Linked DNA regions of Cricetulus griseus. The protein of the gene in region 2 interacts with the protein of the main gene of each other region in a pairwise test. Links are inferred from orthologs where the notes say so. Each region holds a gene or a part of one and is shown on either strand. Other genes may lie near its edges.

What was found.
Region 1: the proteins of Nmi (region 2) and Brms1 interact in binary tests that used the Homo sapiens proteins (3 or more experiments, as listed by UniProt). The link is inferred for Cricetulus griseus from reciprocal best matches to the Homo sapiens genes NMI and BRMS1.

Annotation. Positions count from the first base shown.
Region 1 is NC_048596.1:54,237,231-54,241,576, forward strand, and holds the end of Brms1 (breast cancer metastasis-suppressor 1), read right to left. Parts: coding exon 4,330-4,346; intron 4,253-4,329; coding exon 4,156-4,252; intron 3,598-4,155; coding exon 3,505-3,597; intron 2,386-3,504; coding exon 2,321-2,385; intron 1,710-2,320; coding exon 1,670-1,709; intron 1,329-1,669; coding exon 1,321-1,328; 3' UTR 876-1,320; downstream 1-875. Other genes in the region: Rin1 (ras and Rab interactor 1), read right to left, coding at 1-50. UniProt on the Homo sapiens protein: Transcriptional repressor. Down-regulates transcription activation by NF-kappa-B by promoting the deacetylation of RELA at 'Lys-310'. Promotes HDAC1 binding to promoter regions.
Region 2 is NC_048599.1:122,375,880-122,381,465, reverse strand, and holds the start of Nmi (N-myc-interactor), read right to left. Parts: upstream 3,770-5,586; 5' UTR 3,632-3,769; intron 1,344-3,631; 5' UTR 1,322-1,343; coding exon 1,253-1,321; intron 67-1,252; coding exon 1-66. UniProt on the Homo sapiens protein: Acts as a signaling pathway regulator involved in innate immune system response.

The sequences.
Region 1 (4,346 bases), on a different chromosome or scaffold from region 2:
TCCTGGGACTCAGGAAGAGAATCCAACCCCCAAGGCACAGGCGGGCACATTCCTAGCGGTGAGTAACACTTCCTGAAGGCGGTTCACCCTGTCACGCCCCGCCAGTTAACTCTTGTATGTCCACTCCATGTGGCCAGTGTCCACTTCTATTCTGGGCCCAGCCTTGAATGGCAGGGGCCCCCTTTATGTTAGTGTCACTATTAGGGCCTCAGCTGTGGGAGGACCACCTCCACACAGCGTTTCCTCATATAGAACCTCACACTATGCAGCTGGGTAGGGAGGAGTTAAACAGGGCAGACCAAGTTCCCACAGGCCCAAGTCTCACCCCTGTGTCACCTCAAGAAGTCTGTGGTCACTTGCTCATCTGCTTCTGCCTTGGAGGGGGTCACCCTTGTGGGAGAGCACCCCCTACTGGTCACAGATGACTCATTCCTGAACCTAACTTGGGTTTTGTGATTTCAGGTTGCTATGGAGAAAGGATGCTGTGTCTCCATGGAAACTAAACCCTTTGCTTAACTGAGGTTCTGGGGGTGGTTCTGACACTCATGCTAACCAGGGGAGAGTGTGGCTGTGAGGTTGTCAGCACATGGTGCTGCTGCTAGCTGCCTCCCACACACAGGCCCTGCCAGCCTGCCTGCCAATCTGCCAAGTGACTGGGGCAGGTGCAGACATGACCTGGCCTCCAGGCATGCCTTCATCCAAGGCCATGTGCTTCATTTGTTTGCCTGGGCCACACCACGTGTAGACTCCAGCTCTGGGCCCAGGCTCGTTTCTAAGTCACAATGTTCTGAACAACAGGGACCCCAGAAGAGTCTGTCCCAGGTGTTCCCCATAAAGCCTTGATTCCTTTTAAGAGAACAGCAGACACACACTGGTCAAGGTCCAAGGATGAGTTTTATTCCAGTCTTTAGAATCTGGGAGGCAGACACCAGGAATGGCCCTGAGAAAGTCTGGGAAGATGCCATCTCCAGCGATAGCTAGGAGGGGCAAGACCCCAACATGTTTCTGGCTCAAGAGTTCCCCAGCTCCTGGCTCAGTGGGGAGGGCTGCTGCTGTCATATGAAGCCTATCTTTATTGGGGGGACAATAAAGGAAGTTACTCTTGGGGGGGGGGCAGGAACGGAGTCTTGCTTGGCCAGGTCAGCTTCAGGGTCACGGCTATGCAGATCCCAAGGAGAGCAGAGGAGCCCAGGCCAGTGTTGGTCAGGGGACAGCAGTAACACTGGAGGACTACCAGGCAACCCCCTGCCTTTGCAGAAAAATGTTAGTCCTGTGTGTGGTGCCAGCTGCTCCAAGGACCCTCTGAGTGGAAATGCAGTGTCAGGGTCCTAGGGGCAATGGGAAAATCACTACAAGGAAGGTGAATCAAAGAGAACAACCACTGCCTGAGGCCCTGGGGAAACACCATACTCCCCTCACCCACAGGGCTTCCTTTCCCTGCCCTCTGACCCACCCTGCTGCGGGCCAGCTCCAGTCCACCTTTATCTCTCTGTGGTGCTGAACTTGGGACCAGAGGCTTACCCATGCTAGGCAAGCACTCTACCACTGGGCCCTCCATTTTACCTTTACAAGTCCTTGCCAATCTGGTTCCTATTCCCCAAACTCCCACAAAATCCTCAAAGTGAGATCAAGCTATGGATTCTGACAGGGCCACCTCTTTGGTTCTTACCATCTGGTTTTCTCTTCTGAGGAGACACTGCTGCCCTGGCCTGGGTGTAGAGAAGACAGGGGCCTTTAGAGTCTACTTTAACTTGTTGACACTGCCCCCTCTACACCAAGGGTGAAAGCTGCTGAGTCAAATTGCATGAAATATAAAAAACTCCCTACACCAAGCTCTCTCAGGGGCAGCTTTTCTCTTGTTCATCAAAACTGTCTGGATTGGCCGGGCGTTGGTAGCGCACACCTTTAATCCCAGCACTCAGGAGGCAGAGGCAGGCGCATCTCTGTGAGTTTGAGGCCAGCCTGGTCTCCAGAGCGAGTGCCAGGATAGGCTCCAAAGCTACACAGAGAAACCCTGTCTCAGGGAAGAAAAAAAAAAAAACAAAAAAAAAACAAAAAACAAACAAACAAAAAAAAACAACAAAAAAAAAACCTGTCTGGACCAACGGCTAACCAGAACACATCCTTTTCCTTCCTCAGGTCAGTCTAGGAGGACTACAAATAAGCTACCACAAAGTTGGTACCAGGGCTGAGGCAGATATTGCTGAGGGGCAGGCAGAAAACTCCCTAAATACCCTCAGATACCAGAGCTGTCATGAGTGTATGAGAGAGGGGTGGGGGTGGCAGAGCAGGATGGGTAAACAGGCAGCAGCAGACCTACCTTTTTGATAGCCGTCCAGTCTTCCAGAATGTCGATCTCCTGCAGCATGTATACAATGTATGGGCCTGCACAGGGGTCAAGGAAGAAAGATGACAACAGGAGACAGGGGACAAGGCTCCACTGGATGGCCACAGGTGGCAGTGCCACCTGTCTCCTGCTTAGGAGAGGTGGTACATCGGTAGTGTGGAGGGGGTGACAAGAGCCTTTTTATTTTTTGAGACACAGTCTCTATGTAGCCCTGGCTGGCCTGGAACTCACAGAGAGCTGCCTGCCTCTGCCTCCTGAGTGCTGGGATTAAAGGTGTGTGCCTTTACACTCAGTAAGACCCTGGGCTTAATCCAAGCTCCACCTCCTGCCTCAGGGACCCTAGTTCTTGGTGAGTGTGGGGATTGTGGTGGGCACAAAACCTTACCCATTCCCTTCACACACACTCATATTTTTTTTTTTTCCAGATCAGCTGACCAAGGCCCATCCTATCCTGAGGGGCCCTGCTCCTGCTGCTTTGTCTGGCTCTGTCAGGAACTGGCTCATTGGACCCTTCCTCACCTAAATGTAAATAGTGGCCTCTTCCCTCCTGATAGCACACTATGCTATGGATCTGAAATTTACCTTTACCCACAATGGTTCAATAAAATCTCCATCCCACCTCCATCCTGAGGTGGTCCCAGGGCTGACACTGTGGATGTGGAAGATCTCAGTGCTATGCTGTGCAGCACATGAGAGTCAAAGACAGTGAGTCCCCTGTCTCACTGTTCAATACAGAAGAGAACACATGTATAGGGCTGGGGGCTATGGACCAGGAGAGACCTCAGAGGACACAGCATCTGACATGACACCCCTGCCCAGACAAGCAATAGCTCCAGAAGGGTCAAGCAAGGCCTGAGAGCATGGAGTTTGACCAAATATAAGGACATTGAGGGAAAGCCACAAGGCTCCAAAGGCTGATCCTTTCTCAGGAAATTACTATGAGTCAGTGAGCTGAGTTTTCTGTTTCTTTGGGGTCCACTGAGCTCAAGAGGACATAGGACACAGAAGAAAATCCTGACAACTGGACATTTCAGGTGACACCAAATGACCATAAATGATTCTAGTTTGACTCTGTCCCACACAATCCCTCTAACTTCCCTGAGTCCAGGGCCTGCCTTGTCCTGCCCAGTTTCAGGGGACTTTGAGTGGAAGGATACCAGAAACGAGAGGTGCCTTCTTCCTCTTGCTGGGTGGCAATGAGTCCCAGGTCTTTGAGCTGCCTCTGGCGTGTAGTTTGTCATCCCACCACTCTGTGCCCAGAGACTCAGAGTCAGGATCAGGACAGTGACCCACAGGTAACTCCCACTATCCCTGTGGTTTTACCATGGACCAGCCTGGCCTCCCCTCCCTTCCCCATCACCACCAGGGCAGTGGCCCCAACCTTGGGCTTGAGGCTGGTGACCTCTTGGGACCACTGAGGTCCTTACTGCATTTGGTGCAAGCCGGCAAAGATGAGATGACACTGCCCTTCGTGGTTAAGCCCCAGTTTTTCCATTTGCTTAGTAGACAGGATGAAGGTAATTCCTGGACCCCATGTGAATGCAGATGCCACCATCATGGAGAGGACTATGGTTTTTATATGCATCCATGTGTCAGCTGGATAACCCCCACTCTGAATGGGGACAGGCAAGGGTGCCAATCTGCTTGAGTCCCAACTATATGTGGAATACTGAGCTAGACCCTTTCCTGAAGACTCATTCAGTCCTCACAGGGATCCTAAAAAGTGGGCTGTTTGACTCCCCTTATGCAGCCTGGGAAGCTGAGCTCCAGGGGTGGGGAGGTACTGCAGGATTGGGCCCTCGCCTCACCAGAGCTGATGTCTAGGCTCTGGCGGTCCTCCTCCAGCCTCTGGATCCGCTCCTGCAGCTCCCCAAGGAGTGTGTCATACAGCAGCAGCTTCTCACTCTGGGAGGGGAGAGCCTTTCAGCCAGGGGAACTACTGGACCTCAGTCTCCCTCCCAGAGGCCCACTTGCCAGCTCACCTCTAGGTGCTGTTTGG
Region 2 (5,586 bases):
TGCTTCAAGCTTTTTGATCTCCTGTTCCAGGTGCAAGTTTTCCCTCATAATTTCATGAATTAATCCCTAAAAAACACCAAATAATAGAAAAAAATTAACCACCTTCAAGATGCCTTTTCTAGATTAATTAAAGATGCAAATTCCCCCACCCCAAACCTAGGAAGCCTTAGGACAGCCTCAGAATAAATATGCCTACTTTCAGAGTGCACTTACTTCATTGCCCGATGGCTCTTCGCCTTTTTTTTAATGACTTTTTTTTATTTCATATGCATTGGTGTTTTCCCAAATATATGTCTGCGTAAAAGGCTAATATCTCCTGGAGTTACAGACAGTTGTAAGCCACTATGTAGATGCTGGGAATTGAACCCAGGTCCTCTGAAAGAACAGGCAGTGCTCTTAACTGCTGAGTCATCTCTCCAGGCCCTGGCAGTTCTCCTAATCCTACCAAGATTCTTTAGCTCTATTACATGATCAAAGAAAGTGTTGTCTTCCACATTAGATACAGAATATTTTACAATTAAGGCAAGGAGTGAGAGACTCAGACCTCCTGGACTTAGTTAAATTCTCCTTTCTAAGCTATCTGTAACTATAATATGACTTTCAATTGCACTGTAATTGTGGACACATTACACTGAGGCAGTTTTTTATTGGTTTTGTTGTTGTTGTTGTTGTTTTCTATTTGTTTGTTTTATTTTTAGGTGGGGTTATTGGTGGTTTTTTTTTTTCTCTGTTTATTAGCAATGATTCCAAGAGTAGTCAACTGCTTTGACAACGAAACATATGCCTTGCTAACATCTCTGAGCACCTGGGCCTCTGTTCCCACTTGGGTCTCATTAGGTAATTGCTCACATTTCACTTGCTGCTATAAACCCAAAAAAGAAGGTGAGAAAACACTTAATTTTTTAAGAAAACACATTGGAACACAACTCTTAGTATAAAGTTTTACAATACAACAAATGTAAGGATCTTTAGAAAAGCCCCAAAGCCTTACAATGCCAAGGTAATATTTAGCACAGACAAAAAGTGCATGTTACTTAAAAATGAACAGGCACAGCCGGGCAGTGGTGGCACATGCCTTTAATCCCAGCACTTGGGAGGCAGAGGAAGTCAGATCTCAGTGAATTCAAGGCCAGCCTGGTCTACAAAATAAGTTCCATGATAGCCAGAACTGTTACACAGAGAAACCCTATCTCAAACAAACAAACAAAAAAAGGCACAAATCATTCTTAACAGCATCTACTAATAATTTTACCTCATTTTGTTCAGTTTTCATAACTTCTTTCTCTGGTGAGTGCTTTTTGTTGTCAGTATCAGCATCCATGATTTTCTAGTAAAAGGGGGTGCTTTTACAACCATATACAACACAAATTCAAGGAAAAAAAAAGAAAATACAGATTTTACCCTTTTGTGCAAGAAACATGCCTTCTTTGCTTTGTATTGTTTTTTTTTCTATCATCTAAGTCTTGTCATGTGACTTACAGCCAAACATCGTCTGTATTTTGAAGAATTTCACTTCCCTAATTGCATAGGAGCAGGAGCGAGGCTCATTAAAGGACCTGCCAACATGACTGCTCCATGGTATGGTTAAGGTCTTTATTATGAACAAGAGAAAACATCTAGAGGCATCTGGAAGAGTCCAGAGCAGAGAGAGGAAGTAGACTGAACACGGTCAGCAGACTGGACATAGCCAGGGCTATCTGTGAGAGAGGAGAGAATAGCAGGAGACAGAGAATCGAGAGCATAGTGTGAATAGCAAGAGCAAGATCGTAGAGATTTGAGGCTGCAAACCCAATTCAGGATGCTGATTGTCTGTCTTTAAAATATGGACATAGAGGCTGGGGAGATGGCTCAGGGGGAAAGTGCCTACTGGGTAAGTACTGGTACCTTCCATCCTGGCCTCCCACATAGAAAACAAGGTGTGATGATGTCACCCAACCTGGCCAATCAGGAAGATGCAGGTCCAGTGAGAGACCCTGACTCAGCAAAGTAGAAGAGGATACCAGACTTCCATCTCTAAGCTCCACAGGTACATGCCCAAGTATGTACACACATGCACACACACAAAAAAAATAATAATAATAAATGAATAAAATATGGACAACATCCTACATTGTTCACGAAAACTCAACTTAATCCAGAAGGACTGAGTTAAAGAGGGAACAACACAAAAGTTAGACTGAGTATGAGGCAGAGACATAATCAGAGAAGTAATGCTGATACTGTCTTTGAAGATGACAGAAGGATGCTGAGCCAAGCAAAGGAGAGGGATTCATCCCAAGAGCTTCCAGGACAGAAGGAAGACAGCTCTCAGCAAGCGCCTTTACTGTACCCTGGGAAACCTTCAGACTCCTACAGCTGAGAAGTATGGGGATGGAGAGGCGGTACTCTGTACCTAACAGTCCGTTCATCTAGCAGAAGACCCAGGCTCAGTTCCCAGGCCCCAAATCAAGTGGCTCATAAAGGGACCCCAGTCCATGCACATACAGACACACATAAGCACATCCAATTTTAAAATGACACTAAAAATAAATATCTTTAAATTGAAGTGTGTATGTGCATCTGTGTATAAGCCACCAAGGTCATGTAATTTATTATGGCAGTAAATTTTAAAAAAACAAACAAACTATTCTTCCTAACTATATTTACATCACCATGTTGGGCCTGGCAGCATAAAGAAAGAAACATAATGTATGCATGTTGTATAGACCAGAAACATGTCAAAAGATGAATAAAATTTTAATAATTAAAAGTTCCTAATTAAGCCTGGTCTACAAGAGCTAGTTCCAGGACAGCCTCAGAGAAACCCTGTCTCAAAAACCAAAAAGTTCCTAATAGTGCTTCTTTTGCAATTTTACAATCAGGTGACACTTTCGAATAAAATAGTCTATCTGGTTATGGTGGCACAGGCCTGTAACAGGATGATCAAGAGTTCAAAACCAGCACAATGTAAACAGAAAGCTGATATTTTGATGTGTGTGTGTGCTGGCAGAAGTTGGGTTTGGGTTTACAAACAGAGAAGAAAGCTGGGGAAAAAACAAAACAAAACAAAACACAGAAAGTGAACTGCTTGATTCAAGGTTAGGTTCTTTGCAAGGCTGGGCCGGGGATAGAAATAGAATAACTAACTGGTTGGTGAACATCCAGGTGCTTTGGGGGGATTAAAGCAGTGGTGATTTCATTCTCTTGCCCAATGTAACCCGCCGCTTTCCCTCTACCCCTGTTGGGCAGGACACGTGAAAAGTTCCCTTCTGGAGCACACAAGTTAGAATGAGCACCTCAGGTGCATAAGACTTCTCAGCCCAAATCAGTGGCCTCCTATAATTTTTATTGAATATTCTCCTTTTAACGGCAGCGCCTGCCAAGGAAAAAATTGTCTTCCTGAGAAATCGATTTTCCTAAGAACACTCATTCTAAGTTTCCATTTCCCGGGAGGGCGAAGCACGACCAGGCCGGAGCACAGCGCCCTTTTGGGCGCATCCCCAGGCAGCAAGCCCGGGACCCCGACCCCAAGCCTTCAACCTACCAGGCTGGGCTGGACACCGCCCCCACCCTAAACCCGCCCCACGACTCGCGGAGCATCCCTGACTTGGGGGCGGGGGGGGGGGGTAGACGGGACAGGACGAGCACTCACCCCCTCCGCCGTGCAGCTCCCGGAAGCCAGCGGCGATTAGAACCGAATCCCAACGCGAAAGCACAAACCTAGTCCCTGCGAACAGCAGCGCTCAATCACCCGCGATACTTTCAGTTTCGATTGTTTTAAAAACAGGATGTTTTGGTTTCATGTCCTGCAGACTTTGTCCGGGCGCTATTGCTGATGTTCCTATCTCGGCTGGAATTCTAGGACGGCCTTTGAAAAGTGTATTTTTGTGTGCGTTACGCGGAACTCACTGGATAGCAACTGAAGGCACAGCTCTCTGTCCAAATCCCAGAGCTCAACGTAATTTCCTAGACCGCTACAAAGTTTGACGCCAACCCAAAATGGACCGTGAAGCTGGGAAGGCCGTTTCCAGGGTTGGTTTCTATGCCCTCGTCCCTTGTAAGTTTTCTTCTAATCTTTGTTTATGTTGTGAACATTTTGTAAACAAACACTTCGATAGATGTGAACTTTTCCTTTGCCAGAAAAATAACTGGCTTCTCTCTAGAACGGTAGTGTTTCCTAATCCCACTCGAAGAACCACTCCGGACAGCTGTGCCGCTCATGAGTACAGAGACGTGGATGGCAGCAAAAAGATCCCGGGGTCTTATAGCTGTGCTTAGTAACCAATAACTTCGGTCTAAAATAACACATTGCCAGAAGCAAATTCCTTGCCATCAAGAACACTGATAGGACCCTGTTTACAGTTGACACCAGAGCTACATAGTGAGACCACGCCTTAAAAAAATTAAAGATAGTGTCTTGTGTGTTGTCTTTGGAAAGTGCAAAAGGTCTGTGTATTACGTAGGTTTTCTTCTGAATTTTAACAGGAGCATGAATTTGTTAATGAGAAATTAAAAGAGGTCATTGGTTTGGACGGAGTTTGTGGATTAGTCCAGCAGGTCAGAGAAAAAGCTCATGTTGAAATCCCAGGTCATGGAGAAGAAAGTTATCCTTCCAATAAGTCAGATGACAGATTATGGCCAAATCCCTAAGCAAGCCAGTTTTACATGGCAGAATAATAGCTTTATTAGCTATTATAGCTTTAACCTTTATAACACAAGAACTTTAAAACAGCTATTTGGAGGCTGGAGAGATGGCTCAGTGGTTAGGGGCATTTGTTTCTTTTACAGAGCTAGTACCCCACAACCTACTGTCACTCCAGTTCCAGAGGATGAACGCCCTCTTCTGGCCTCCGTGGACAAATAAGTGATGCAGATACATGCCCTTGAAACACTCATACACATTAAATAAAAACAAACCTAAAAGTGTGGTTTTTGACAGCCTATTTGTTTTTGTGTTGGGTTTACGATCTTCAGCCACCCCTTCATTTTTGACTTATAAAAGTATTATCTGCCCTATTCAGCAGATTCTGATTCTAGAATCACAAATTAAAAAGTCAACTTGGTTTTTAAACTACATTTGTTGTAATTTTTGTCTTTTGACAACCAGGGGTTACTAGTTCAATACAATTTTCTTCTTGTTTAAATTTATTTTTGTCTTTGGAAGGAGATACTAGGAGACATAACAATGACTACAGAGTAGCTGGTCTAATATAGACTTATGGGAAAGCAAAGGGATGAGTAGAGAGGAAGATGTTTGAGAGACTAGCATCTTTTGTTAATGTTGTTGTTATGGGAGTAAGGAGCAGGTGCCACTAGAGCTTCTGGATGATTCTTTCTATCTTCCCCTCCCATCTCTAAGTAGGAGTGCCAAAAGTACAGGTGTAAGTGGGTCACTGAATCTGGCTTGTGTATGTGGGTTCTTGCCAGACAAACACTTTTACCTGCTTAGGGAATCTCTCTATCATCTCTTTCTTCTCCTGAAATAACTCCCCAACTGCTCTCACGATGCATATATTCTATTTTTCTATTTTGTTTTGTTTAAGCTGGTCTAGAACTCACAACCTTTCTGCCTTGGCATCTCTAGTGCTGGGATTACAAGTGCACCAC